Alligator mississippiensis: one gene and its partner. The protein of the gene in region 1 purifies or fractionates together with the protein of each later gene. This does not show direct contact. Links are inferred from orthologs where the notes say so. Each region holds a gene or a part of one and is shown in the gene's direction. Other genes may lie near its edges.

What was found. The genes of interacting proteins can lie anywhere in the genome.
Region 2: the proteins of SHCBP1 (region 1) and RACGAP1 purify together in Homo sapiens (affinity purification with mass spectrometry; 8 studies listed by BioGRID and IntAct, counting the BioPlex papers as one, with this or other methods). This does not show direct contact. The link is inferred for Alligator mississippiensis from reciprocal best matches to the Homo sapiens genes SHCBP1 and RACGAP1.

Annotation. Positions count from the first base shown.
Region 1 is NC_081833.1:55,531,085-55,538,532, forward strand, and holds the start of SHCBP1 (SHC SH2 domain-binding protein 1), read left to right. Parts: upstream 1-4,431; 5' UTR 4,432-4,479; coding exon 4,480-4,600; intron 4,601-6,828; coding exon 6,829-6,999; intron 7,000-7,448. UniProt on the Homo sapiens protein: May play a role in signaling pathways governing cellular proliferation, cell growth and differentiation. May be a component of a novel signaling pathway downstream of Shc. Acts as a positive regulator of FGF signaling in neural progenitor cells.
Region 2 is NC_081838.1:5,804,006-5,810,957, reverse strand, and holds the start of RACGAP1 (rac GTPase-activating protein 1), read left to right. Parts: upstream 1-3,936; 5' UTR 3,937-4,001; coding exon 4,002-4,086; intron 4,087-6,952.

The DNA of each region.
Region 1 (7,448 bases):
TTCAATGACTTTTCGGGTTGTGGGCGCGTATTCCGGAATTTTTTCCGAAAATAATCCGGTCCTAACTTGAACCGTTTGGACACAGCAGCTTTGAAGGCATTATAGTCATCAGCTGCATCTGGGGGCAGGCTGTTCAGGATCACCGCCATGTCACCTTCTACCAGCGCAGACAGGTACATCATGATCTTTTCCTCCGGCACCTTGCACCGCTGGGCTTGTCTTTCGAAGTTGCTTAGGAACACCGCAGGATCGTCTCCCTCTCGGTAGCGAGCGAAGGCGGAGACATCCAGTTTGGGCTGTTCCCCGGACGCTTGCGGAGGGTTCACGTTTCCCCCAATGGTCTGCAAATGGAGCTGAGCCTCCAGCTTTTGTGCCTCCAACCGGGCTTCCCTTTCCAACCTCCTCTCTTCCAGCTCCATCCTTTTCAATTCTATCTGCTCCTTCTCGCGCTGGCGCTGGGCCTCCAGCTCTAGCCTTTTCAATTCTATCTGCTCCTTCTCACGCTGGGCCTCCAGCTGTTTTTCCTCCAGCCGTCGTTGTTCCTTCTTGTCTTCCCACTCCATCCTTTTCAGCTCTATCTCATGGAGTCTCTGCCGCTCCCTCTCAGAGGGTGATCTCCTGGCGGCCTCCAGGCTGGACGAGCAGGAGGGTGTTCCTGGGTCAGGCTCAGGACTTGCCGAGCATGAACCTGACACTTGTTCTGACTCGCTGGTGCACAAGAGTTTAACCAGCTCATCCTTCTTTAGCCTTCCCATCGCGTGTAGGCCTCTCTCTTTTGCCAGTTCTTTCAGTTCGGGCACAGTCATCCGGACATACTCGTCCGCCATTCTGACTCTCTACCCTATCCAGTCGACCCGATGTCAAATTAGAAATTGTTTGCTCAAGGGATTTCAGTGACTCTATTCCTTTCCCCAAATTATGCCTCTAATACAGCAGGGTATTCGGATCCCACCTCTGCCACCACGTGTGGCGGGCCAGTAGGGGCGCTCCTGCGTTGAGCCGCCCACCTCCCCGCGCCCGACCACCTTCCAGGCTCCGAGTGCCTCCCTTAGGGTGCCTCCCGCCCGGCCGACCCCTTCCCTGGAGCACACCCGCTAGCCTGGGGTCCCGCTGCCACCATCCAAGGCTCTGGACTCACTTCTGGCTCTGCGCGCCTTGGAGAACGCAGGCCTGATCGTCCAATGGGTACTAGATCCAATACAAGCACTTGGGGCACTTCCCCAAATCAGGGGCTTATTAGGAAAGTCTCCCTTAGTCCACAGACCTAAGGGGCCTCCTTGGCATAATTTAGACCCACCCCTCAATAAGTCTCCCACACCGGTCACAAGGAGAACTTTATTGATTACAGGGGGTAGGGCGGAAACAGGGTAAAAGGTAGAGCAGTTTCATAGAAATCTTACAGGAATATCAAAGGAATCCCATTGAGCAAACCAGGGTGGCTGAGGTAGCCGTTTAAACGCATCTGAGTTACTGAAACTAAATATCTAATCGGATCTTTAGTAGCTTACTCACTCTCATCGTCCAGAGGTAGTTGTTGTATCCTCTGAAGGCAGTGCACTCTTGGAGCATGCGGTGATGAGGAGAGAGCCAGGCTCAGATTCACCTGGATGACCGCATGGCTAATGGCTGACTGCCCCTTCTTCTTGGACCGAGCCCTTAAATAACCTCTCTGACCTCAGCAGCCCGGTCCAGTTGAAGCTGCCAATACTGGCCACAAGCCGACCAATCTCCCCAGCATCCCTGGCTACCTGGGCCCCAGGGCCGGGTCTTTCCGCCCTGCCCAGGTGACTAGAGCATCTGCCTCCCAGGCGCCAGGCTTTTGTCACATAGACCAGGTGGGAGATCCCCACCCTGAGGAATGAAACACCAGCCTCCCAGGCTGGCTGAGACAGGTCTCTGCAGAGGGGCACCCACGGTGGCATTTCTGCCACAATGTGTAAGTCTTCACAAGCCCAGGTCTTAATATAAATAAAACAATATGTCTGGGGAGGGAAACCAAAACAAAAAACCCAAACAGCAAAGCAAACAAGCAAAACTGAAGACACAGTAGTAGGAGGCACTTGGATAACCAGGGCCACCTTTTCTATTTCTCTGTTGCTTGACTTGGTCTTTTCAGCACAAAGAAAATCTCCAGTGTTACATTCTGATCTGGTAGCATTTCCACACTTGCATCGGTATAAAAGCAAATGGCCTATCAGATCTTCAGACTCATACAGTTATCAGGTTGTTGCTCCAGAAGTTTGTTTTGGCCCATTATTTTTAGTTTGCTTGTTATTCACTTGAGATGTCTTCATTTATAGAAGGAGCTCTTCTGGGACTCTGGTCACAGGAGCAGCACTCATGCTGGTTTGGAAAAGAATCTTGCAATTGTGGCTGTAGCCATTTCCAAATTGTTCTCTGAGCAAAAACTGTACCCAGAAATTGTGCTAGGGAAGGAGTTTTTTGTGCAGCCAGTGTTCTTTTTCTCCCACTGACACAAATCCCCCCTTTTCTCATTATTTTTGTAGCATTCAGTGCTGAATATGCCAGCAAGGAGCACATTTTGCTAGTATGAGATCCACAAGGAAAAACACATGTGCTTAACATGTTGGTGAATGCAGTAAGGTCACTGATTAGACCTAGAAGTGCAGGTAGCACCTTTTTTTTGCTTTTAATACAGTGAAGATGAGTGTCTTCTTAACATTTGTTTAGCTGTGCTTGATTGACTCCCCTATTAGCATGAGTTATTGAATTCCAGTCTACTTTTATTAAAAAAGGAATATTTCCCATTCTGGTTAGCTGTCCTGAATTTGTCCTATATGAACTGATCTGACTAGCTGAGTTGGCTGTGACAAGTCACTTATGACAGATTAATTTAATTTTAAAATCTCCTGGTTGAGTACTTTGCCATCTTAGCTGCTTTCTGGAACCACTCTCAAGGGATGACTACTACTCAGATATATCAAAAATGCAAGGGCTGTTCTGTAATTGGAATGGCAGCATGTTAATAAGAAACAGAACTTTTCAAGCAAATTGCTTAATCCCTTTGTAGACAGGCATGCACCCAGCGACCTAAATATTGAAATCTGAGTGTTGTGCATTGCAATATTTGAATAAATATTGAAAATAAATTCTATACGATAGGACAGTGGTTGTCAACTGGGGGTACATGTACCCCTAGGGGTACTTAAAAAGGTCCTAGGGGGTACTCAGATCTAACGTTGCTGATAAATGCTGTGTGTATGCACAGTTGCAGTGCATCACGTGTTCAGGAGAGCATCTGGGTCCAGCTGCTAAGTATGAGGGGTGTGCGCAACGGCAGGAGCCGCCACCCCTCTCCCTGGGCCCCTTGAACGAGTCGCTTGTGGCTCTGTCTCTCACACTGCCCCAGCTGTGCAGCCCCAGCCTTACTCCCTCCCTCACCGTGGGGGGCCTTGATTCCTTCCCCTTGCTTAAAAGTGAGAAAAAATATAAAGGGGTACCTGAGCTGGAACTTTGAGAGAGAAGAGGTACGCTTGTTAAAATTGGTTGAAACCCCTGTGATAGGAAAACAGGTGATTTATACACACCCATCGGGGAAGAGAAAACAAAAAACTTGGGCTGAAGTTATGTCACCTGAACTAAAGCAACGTTCCTCAGCCATTATTTCCCCAGGGAGAATGTGACCTTTCTTAGGGAGTGACAGGGCCATCTCTGGTGGGGGGGGGAAGGGGGGCGAATTGGGGTGAAGCCAGGTGGAGTGGCCACGGCAACTCCATGCTGTTGTCAGCTTCATGTCCAGCTTCTCGGCAACACCACTGAATCCGCCGCTGAATGGTGTCCAGCCGCTTGGCACCCTGCCCTGCCCTTGCTGCCAAATCCACCACCGGCTTCCTTGTGTCCGGGGATGGGGCCCCACACCCTGCTTGGGTTGTCTTTGGGGACTGAATGTAGGGAAAAAGGAGGAAAAAAAAATACCATTCCCTTTTTTGGTTGAAGGCCAGTACTGATACTAGGTATGCAGGAGCTGGTGTCACCTTCCTAAATCCCACATGGAAATTCCCTGCTGTGAAAGTCAAATGAATTAGTTGCTCATGACCAAATTATATACAGTTTTAAAATAATAAAATGTGGTTGTGTATATATGTGCACTACCAGATGTTACTGTCTTTATATATAATAAAACAACATATACTTCATTCATATATCATAAATCATATTGTTACAGCAATACACACATTTCACATAATATATAAAGTAATAATAATAATATTTGGTCACACATATACGTATACACGTATATTTACGTGTACGTGTATGCATGCGCACAGAGGCACGTTTCCCAACTGACCACTCTTCTCCCTGTCTCAACGTTTTGTAGGGTTCCCTGCCCTTTGCCGATTGGCTCCCTCAGGGCCCGCGACCAATCAGAATGCTCCCTGGCTCTAACGTCAGGGGAGGATTGTCGGCCGCGAAAGTTTGAAATCTCCGAGCTTCGGCGCGGCGGGAGCAGCCCGGGCCATGGCGGAGGGCGAGCGCGAGCAGGAGCAGGAGCGCGAGCAGGAGCAGGAGCAGGAGCTGGCGGCGGCGGCGGCAAGCGGCAGCGCCGAGCCCGGGGAGCAGCCGGAGGCCGTGCAGCGAGGTAGGGCAGCGCCCGGGCCGGAGCGCCCAGCAGGGCTTTGCCTTCCAGCGGGCTCCCGCAGGGAGGAGGGCCGGGGGCGCCGCCCAGCCGGGGCCCTCCAGCAGCTTTCTCAGCGGCTGCATCCGCGGTCCGGCAGCCTGCTGGCCCGGTCCTGCCTGCCGGTGCGGGCGCAGCGCGATCCGGACCAGCCTGAGCCGGTGCGCGGGGCTGGGTCCCTGGGGCAGCCCCTGAGCCGCGGGCGCTGCTCACTGATCCAGACGGGCTCTGCCCGAGACCCACAGGTGGGATCGTGCAGCTTCAGGGGCCAGAGCTGGCCCGCGGACCATGTGCCTGACGCCTCTGTCTGAGATACACTGCGACAAAGCCTTTCTAGCAGGCCCTAGTCAAAGTGTCCAGCTATGTGAGTTGGCCTAATACAAGAGATCAGATTTACCCAAAGAACTTTGTCTGCCTCTGTCCTGAGACCAACACGGCTACAGCCTACACCCCTGTACCCTAGCAATGCTGCTTGTCGACCCAGCTGATCATGCCGGCGTCTTCAGAGCGAGTGTGGCTGCGTTAAGTTCTTCAGAAGGAAGTCGGCCTGGTTTCCATTCAAACGGGTTTAGCAACATGGAACTGGCTCATAACAATTGCTTGTGGCAAGTTAGGTCGTATGGACCAGACCTCAGGAGGTCGCTTGGTCCAGCCCCCTGCTCAAGGCAGGAACATCCCCCACTAAACCATGCCTGCCCAGTGTCTGACCAGCTCTTGAAACTTGGCTTGACGCGTACAAAGCTCTGCTGTTTACTGGCTTGGGAGGAAAATATCTGCTGCCAGAGGGAGGAAGGAGGTTTTGTTTGTTTCTCTTTTATTTATTTTTTTAAGGAAGTTTCAAAAGCACCTCTTGCTTTTCTGAGAGGTGAGTCGGACTTGGGTGCTCTGTGGCTAGTAAAGTCCTGTGTTCTAATACACGGGCCAGTTCTACGGTAGGCCGGTGCTACCAGGATTTAGCAAAACTTAGTATTTTGTGTTAACGAAGTTAATTTCATGCCTCACTGTTTAAACACTGTAAAACCAAAGGCATAGAAATGGAGTATGCTACTCAAAAAGTAGGTTGACTGACTCACTTTTACTAGCTGGGGCGAGAACCAAAATGATTCATGTGGTAGCTGTCTGCAAAGGACAGGGTAAGAGCTTGTGTTCTCTCTTCCTTTTATGAAACATAAGGCTTGAAAAGATTTTGCCTCTGCTATAGGCTTATCTGTGCTACAGATATTCACAAGGATCTGTTTGGTCTGCACAGAATATCTCGCTGCGCTTGGGTGTGTGGAGGCAGCTGGTTTGCTTGTATTGCAAGAGCCTGTTGGTATGGCATTAGCATCTAGATGAGATCAGCTTTGTTATACCAGGCATTGTAAAAACCCAAGATAAAACATAATCTAAATGGCAAGATAGACAAAGTGTGTAGGGAGAGAGGCATGAATATAGTGACTTACATCAGGTGGTGTGGAAGGTCAGCAGCTAATTTGGAAATGCAACCTAGCTCTCCTGGCTCCAAGTCCAGTGTCCAGTCACTGCCCAGTCACTGCCCCGCTCTTTCTCCCACATGCTTAGTGTATTCTTATGTTGACCATGGTTCAGGTAGGCCTGCTACCATCCCACAGACCTCTTGTAGCATCTGGGATCGGGCATTGCTGCAGAAATGGCTTAGAGCAGTGGAAAGTAGGCAAAACTGCTGGTTTTGCACACAAGTCAGTCTTGCAGCTTCATAGCTGGGCTATTGAAGGGAAGAGGTTTTAGGGAAATCTTTTTGTCAGTCTTGACCTCCCTCATTGTCAGTGCCTAATGAACATTTTTGGGGGAAGAGGGATGGTGACTTCTTTGAGTACTCTGCCCCTCATGTTAAGTGTAATGGCATACAGGTCCCTAGCTGCCTCCAGCAAAATCCTGGAATTGCCAACTCACCATTTCTAATGTTTTTAATATAAAGTGTGTGTGGTGTTGACAGAGGCTTTTAGAGCTATACATATTTTTGCTTTGTTCTGTACTGCTTGTGATCTTAATTTAAAAACATGCTGATAGTGTCTGCATGCAGTGCTTAGGGAGTAGCTTTTTTGGGAGGCGTACATGTTGCTGCAGAAGGGAGTGTGGTAGTGGGAGGCATGCGATGGATTCTGCACTGGCTCCTTGAAACAGTCATGAAAGAATGAATTGTACTTAAGTGAACTGTGCCTTTTTCCCTTTAGGCTCCTGCCAGGAAGAGGATGACAGCTGCAGTGATTATGGGAGTCATGACAAACTAGGCACCGTTTTAGGAAGGTTTGTGCCAAATGGGAATGTGCTTTTCCCAGACACCTTCGAAACAAATCACCTTTTGTTTTATGAGAGATTTAAAGCATATCAAGATTACATCTTGGGTGAGTGACATTTTTGGTATTGAGATTCCTTGTCACAGTCTCTGTAATGACTGACTTTTCCAGGTGATTCAGTTTATATCCATAGATAATATAGCCTTCTTTTTAATAACTTAGTTCTCCAGAGCATGCCGAGTAGAGAGGATCCGGTTTAGTATTGGGGTGAAGGAAAGATCAGTTGATGAGCAAGTTGAGCTGTAAACGGGTCCTAGGCTTTTAATGGCCTCCCATGAAAAATACTATGCCATAATTAAGATTTTGGGCTGGAGAACTAGAAAACTAATGATCTTATGTTACAAGAGAGTGAAACCTGAACAGTTGAAAATAAGATCATTTTAATAAGACTAGTTAAAACAGTACAGTTTTTTCAGCACCTATTTAACACCACCAGCCTACTTGAAGGATGGAGGCTGTGTTGTGAAAGAATTGGTGCTCTTCTCTTCTCAGTTGAG
Region 2 (6,952 bases), on another chromosome or scaffold:
TGGCAAAATTCAGTGGCACGCCTGTTCATTTCTGACAGCACATGTTTGTGCCGTGGCACACTGGTGGGGAAACAGTGGGCTACCCAACGGCGGGCTACAACACGCCTTGTGCCAGGCACATTGCACTCCCATGGGTGTGCCCTCGGTAACATTGCTCTCTCTCATCTCTGCTTTGGGCAATAGAGATAAAATAAAAGATATTGAAATAAACTCTCAGCCAGACTTTGATAATCCTACGCTGCCAGTGCACTGGGACATCGTCTTCCCACCAATAGCTCGGCTTCCCTCAAGATGCCTGGTGTGGTCCACCCTTTCAAAACCCTCTGACTTGTCCTTACTTACTCGATGGCACGAAGGACGGTCAGCACAAACACCAGTCACTCACCACATCTCTGGCCCTATAATCAGTCAACCAGGATTTAATTGGCCACATCGTATCCGGTTAAATTATTTCCATCTTCCTCGATCCTCCTGGTTTTTTTCTCAATCTTCCCGGTCTTCTTCCTCGATTCTCCCAGTCTCGGGCTATGGGCTGAGGAGGGAGAGGAGAATCGAGGTAGTCAACCAAAGACTGTGGCGCTGGTGTCATCGGGAAGGCTTTGGCTTCCACGATCACAGTCTGCTCTTTGGTGACAAAGGCAGTGGACTGCTGGGAAGGGATGGCCTCCAACTCACTCCGCTGGGGAGGAGGCTCTTCTCAGTCAGACTGGCTGACCTGCTCCACTGGGCTTTAAACTGAGCCCGCCAGGGGATGAGGGGACCACCACCACTGCAAGCTCATTGGGCTGCTTTTGCAAACCCAGAAGGCTAAGGCACTCAAGGGAACCTACCCCTACCCAGCCCCAGAGCGAGCCATAGGGAAGGTAAGGGCCCCCAATGGGGCACTTGCATGCCTGTACACCCATGCCAGGAGCTTGGGGAATAAACAGGGGGAACTGGTCCTCCTACTAAACCGAAAGGATTATGATCTCATAGGGATAACAAGACCTGGTGGGACTCCACCTATGACTGGGCCACAGATATAGATGGCTATGCCCTGTACAGGAGAGATCGAGTGGACAAAAAGGATGGCGGGGGGGTAGCTCTCTATGTCGAGGAAAGCTATGCATCCCTGCAAGCTGCCATTGGCACCCAGGATGGATGACTGGAGACTCTCTGGGTCAAAATCCGTGGCGAACATGGCACAGGGGGACACAATGGTGGGAGTCTACTACAGATCTCCTAGCCAGGATCAAGAGCTTGACCAGGAATTTGCCAGGGAACTGGCCGAGACTGCACGCTCCCGGTGCACGGTTCTTATGGGAGACTTCAACTACCCAGGCATCTTGTAGGAAGAGCACTCAGCCACATCCAAATGGCCGCAAAGCTTCCTCCTGTGTGTGGATGAGCTCTATCTGACTCAAGAAGTCTATAGATCGACGAGAGGCAAAATGCTGCTCGACCTGATACTAGCAACAGGGGATGACTTAATCAGTGCCCTAACGATAGAAGGGAAGCTGGGAGACAGCGACCACGAGCTGATCACCTTCACCATCCACCGTAAAGCTGGCAAATCAGTCAGCAAAGAAGAAGTCCTTGACTTCAGGAAAGCTGACTTTGATAAGCTCAGGAGGTTTGTTGGTGAGGCCCTAAGGGACCACGACCCAAAGGAGAGGGGAGTTCAGGAAGGGTGCATGCTCCTCAAGGGAGCAAGCCCGGAAGCTCAAGCAATGTCTATCCCATCTTGTAGGAAAGGCAGCAAAAGGGCACAGCAGCCCCCCTTGCCAATGCAGGGAACTAGAGGACCTCCTGCATCTAAAAAGACAGACCTACAAAGGATGGAGAACTGGATCCACCTCAAAGGAGGAGTACTCTGCACTGGTCCGGACCTGCAAGAAGCGAACGAGGAAAGTCAAGGCTGCGATTGAACTCCAACGGGCTACACATATCAACAAAAATAAAAAGTCCTTTTTTTTAGATATGTGGGGAGTCTTAGGAAAAGTAAGGGCAACACTGGACAGCTGCTAAACCACGTGAGTTAATGGACAACCAGGACCTTGAGGCCCAGGGATGGCAAGAAGAGCTGAGCCTGCCTACAAGTGATAGGCATCCTTGCCTTTCTCCTGCTTTCCCTGACCAAGAATTGAACCTGGGCCACAGCAATAAGAGCACCCAACCCTAACCACTAGACCACCAGGGAAGGGCCACGGGGCCTCCGCGGGCTGAGCTGGACAACGGGAGTGCCTCTGGGGCACAGGCTGCAACTTGTGGTGGCAAAAGTCAGGGGTCGGGGGCGGCACTTGCCTTACACAGATGGCGGCCAGGGGCGGGCCTTCTGTCAAGGGGCGGGGCTTCAAGCTGGACGGCAGCTGTAGCCCTTCTACTCCTAGACCAGCAGGGAAGGACAGGCCAGCGCTTGGGCTGAGGCCAGGAGCGCTCTCTCTTGCCCTGTGCCATGGGCTCGGGCCTGGCTCTTCCCCTGCACGGGGTGCTGCCACCCGAGGGGGAAAGACTCTGGCGTTCACACCGGCGAGGAGGGGGACTCCAACTCCCCGCCTGTGGCATGCAGCACAGTCGCAGGCAAGGGGAGGGAGGCAGGGGCATCCTTGCCAGGATGGCTGAGTGGTCTAAAGCGCCAGGCTCAAGGTCATACCCTTCCCTCGTCCTGGGGGGTCCTGGTCTCCCTTTGGAGGCGTGGGTTCAAATCCCACTCCTGGCAGCAGCTTTTGGCACTCAGCGTCAGGCCGGCCTATAGCAGGGCACCAGGAGCTGGCGTCCCAGGGAGGCCAGCAAAAGCTGAGCCTGCCTCCAAGTGGGAGGCCTCCTTCCCTTTCTCCTCCACTGCGGGCTGGGGATTCAAAAGCCGGCTTTCCCTGGCTGGGAATCGAACCCAGGCCGCGGCAGTGAAAGCGCCAAATCCTAGCCACTAGACCACCAGGGAGGACACGGGGCAGGCAGCCCTGCCCTGCCCGCCCGCCTGCCTCCATCTTGCCTCCTGCCCTGGCCCCAGGCGCCACCCCCCTGGGGCGCAGGGATTTGCTCAAGGCAGGTCTCCCAAGCCCTCGCTCCAGGGCCAGCAGCCTTCCCTTCCAGCCCTGAGCACGGGGAAAAGCTGGCCCTTCTCCACCGGGAAACAATGCCCCTGCCCACAGCCAGGGCAGGCCCCCAAGGACCTGGAGGCCTGCGCGGGGGGCGGGCTCTTTGGAGGGGCGAAAGCGGGGTGTGCCACGGAAACCAGTGCTACACCCTGCCCTGTGGGGGACTGGGCACTGGGGGCTTCCTCCTTGTCTGGTTGGTGATTGGCCAGGAGGTGAACCGACCCCCCCCCCCCCGGTTAGCCGTGTGGCCTTGGTGTCCCGCAGGAGAAGGCACCAGTTGCCCGTGGTGATGACAGGGCGTTAACATATCTGAAATAACGTGTCGTAACTGGATCACGAAGCGCGCACAAGAGACCTAAAGCGATCCGGAGCTGTCCTGGAGATGAGGTGTTTTCTGAGACCAACCAGGTTTTTGCAAAAAACCCAACCTGGATAACGGACAGAAACCTTCATATTTCTATCCCTCACTTGCAAATGCTGTAAAATGGGGCCAGCCCTAGGTAAGTGAGGAGTGTGTGTGTGATGCAAATGAATTAAATCCAGCTGATGTCGTGTTTTTTTTTTTTAAACAGCGCCGATCACGGCACAATCACTGCGCAGCGTGGTGCGGTGCGGAGCGGCTTCTCCTTTGCGCGGCGGAAGGCGGCTCGGGACTGAGCTGCCCTTAGCAAAGATGGCGCCCAGCTTGACTTCAGCGCGTTTCCTTATAAAGATGGGTGAAGCCCCTCATGCCCGTACTAGACGTGGCGTCTCCTTTTGACGCCGTTGCGTTCGGGGGAGGTAACCAATGAGCGGCAGGGGACGCCGGGAGCGGCGCTGTGATTGGTGCCCGGCGCGGATTCAAACCGTGGGCGGGGCGGCGCGCGGGCTGGTGCCGGACGTTGCGGGTGCGGCCGTGCGGAGCCGGCGTCGGCCCGCGGGAGCATGGAGACCGCCGTGATGAACCTGCGCAATCTGCTGGAGCAGCTCCTGCGCCAGGCCGACCTCCTCAGCGAGGGCAACGAGCTGCGTAAGTGCGGCGGGGTGGGGAGGGGGTCACTGTTAGGGGACCCACGGGAGTTATGCAAAAAAAAAAAATAAAAAAAAATGGAGATTAAAATTACAATTAAAAAAAAAATCAATATGCAAATGTAGGTACAAGTCTCCGGGCTCGGGCCTGCGCGCCCACCGCAGGATGTGGCAGCGTGTGAAGCCCCTGGAGTTGGGGCCTGCATGTTTGTGGACTGACCCGTGGGTTTCCCCCAAAAAATGGACTTGGGAAGCTGTCCAGTGCCCTAAATAAAGCGCGATCCGATTTAGCACCTTTAATTTGACTTTTTTTAGTCAACCGAACTAAAAAAAGTACCCCTCGGGTTAATTTTACGTTCAAATAGACACAAGTATTTGAACCGAAATATTCGATTGGGGGGGAAAAAAAAACGTGAATGCAGCACGCTTCATGTGGTTTAAATGTTATGTTCAAAGCTTTGGGTGGGAAGAAGTTGTTTTTATTGGGATCCGTGTCAAAAGGTCCAGAGGGGAAATCGCGGGTCCTTCCCTGACCTGGGTTGTTTAAATTTAAGAAAAACAAAGCGCGAAGCGAGGGCACGGAGGACTCCTGACACGCTGATTTTAACACACCCGAGGAAGCGTGCGTGACGCGCCGTGCTTTGGTTTTGATGTGACCTGCGCAGCCAATTAAGTGGATTCATAATTTGGGTTTTGGTTTGGGCTGTTATGCGAGTGTACTTACTCTCCTGTTTACAAATCAATAAAACATACGTTACATACTGTCTCTCGCACTTCCTAGGGAAAATCCCCTGGAAAATCTTAATTGCAGCTTTCAAACCGCCCAGCTTGCCCAATACGGCGTTGGCATCCATTCGCTGTTACTGATGAGTTTGACGCAACCATGAATTTTTAGAAATGGAAAATTTCCCATGGACAAATAAAGCGCTGGCAAATTTTTCCGCTCCGCGTCTCTGTGACTGACTCACGGGTTTGGTTTGGACCTGGAAAAATTTTCCTTAAAGTGCCTAGTGTAGGCAGCCCAGCTCTGTTTGGCACCCTGGATTTGGGATCTGTTTTGCTCCATGGGAGCCTGAAGGGACAAGGTGAGGCCTTGGAAAGGATGCATCATGACTATATTTGAAACTTGGTGTCTACCTAGTTCATAAGTAACAGCTGATACGTTTTGTTTTGTTTTTTGTGGGCCGCATCTTGGTCACCCCAGCTTTTAACTGTTGGCTTTGAGAAGTAATGCTTGCCACTTGTTTTTGCAGATCCGGAGGGTGCTGGGGAGAGTCAGTACTTTGACACTGGGGGCTATGGGTTGTGGCGGGGGAAAGCTTTGGCTAGAAACCGATTTGTGAAATTTGCTCTGGTTGTAACTTTGCAGGATGACATGGGCTTATTCCCTTTAGGGAGGTGTTAAACAGCTAAAGCAAATTGGCTTTTTACTTTCGAATCAATAGTTGTATACTTATACAGCTGAATGGAGTTGTAAGACCAGGCATCCATAATACTGCTCTACATCTGCGGGAGCGTATTGCAGCACTCCTGAATTTATTGTGGAATGTCTTTCTGGTGCATTAATCGGCAACCTTAAAGTTTTATCTTTTTCATGTTGGTTTCATAGCAGTGGATTTGTGCTGATATATGTTAACCTGTTAGAAAGGCCAGCTTTTTACTTGGAGTTGCCTTAACGTGGCTGCAAAACTCACCTCATGCCCTGGGTCGGATCTGTGGGTCTCCTAGTGGGCTGGGTCCAGCCCAGGGCTTGAGGCAGCTTGGGCACGAGGCATATGATAGTAAAGTCTGTTTGAAAAATGATATAATTGCTTGAGTGAATAGAATCAAAGCCTCTCTGCAAACTCTTGTCCTCCTCCTGGGTTGGCTAAGAAGTTGGTTTGGTACCTTTACTTAAAGAAAGCAGGAAGAAGCCTTTCATTAATGAATAAAGGGATGCTTTATTTTCTTTGCTTGCGTTGTTCACTAGTGTTTGTTAGCCATGTTAGTTTGGTGGATGCTAGGATAGAGTCGGCATGAGCTTTCATAGGCAACAGTCTGTTCTCAGACTCTGTGACTGGAATGGCAGAGAGAAGAATGTATTAAAAAAGAGACGTGGGGAGGAGAGGTAAGAAGTGGGTTGATTAGATCAGTTGGCATGAGCAATGTAGATAACACGTGGAGGGGTGCCAGAGTTAACAGCCAGCCCAGGGAAGGAGAGTATAATCCACAATTGAACCATTCCCAGCGGTTACTGATTAGGAGCTGGTTCACAATTGGTATAGGTCAGAGGTCCACAGACTTGGCCCTGGAGGGAGAACAATTACCTTTTAGGCTTTGAAGTGCTGTTGGTCTGACTCCAGGTGGTAGGAGTGACCACCCAGCCCAGAATGCCCCGTTGCAGAGTGGGTGGGTGTGCTCACATGTGTGCTTGTATCTATGCTTTGGGACTCCCAAGGAATGTGGTTAGGGGAGTGTTTTCACTTTTTTTCCTTTTACCCTAAACATGAGTTCAATGAAATTTTAGTAGCCTGTACTTGACTGAAACCTGCAGTGTGCTGGGGGGGATACCTGGACTAAGGGTGCACAGCTAAAGATTTTCTTGGCTGATACTGATAGCCAATGATTAATCAACCAGCTGACATACCAGCTGATGCCAATCTGATAACTAATGTTTAGTAACAGTACAAGGTGTTTTAAACTGCTGACATAAACCTTGTATTTGTCTGTTATGCATTTATCTCACACATGCATGTGTCCTGCTTGCTCTGGCCCTTGTTGAGGAAGGCAGTGACCACCTTATTCCCTTGCATGTTGCTCCCTTGCCCATGGCTCCTACCCACAGCCCTGCTCCCTGTGCTGCTGTCCTGCAGGAGTGGGGTGGACCC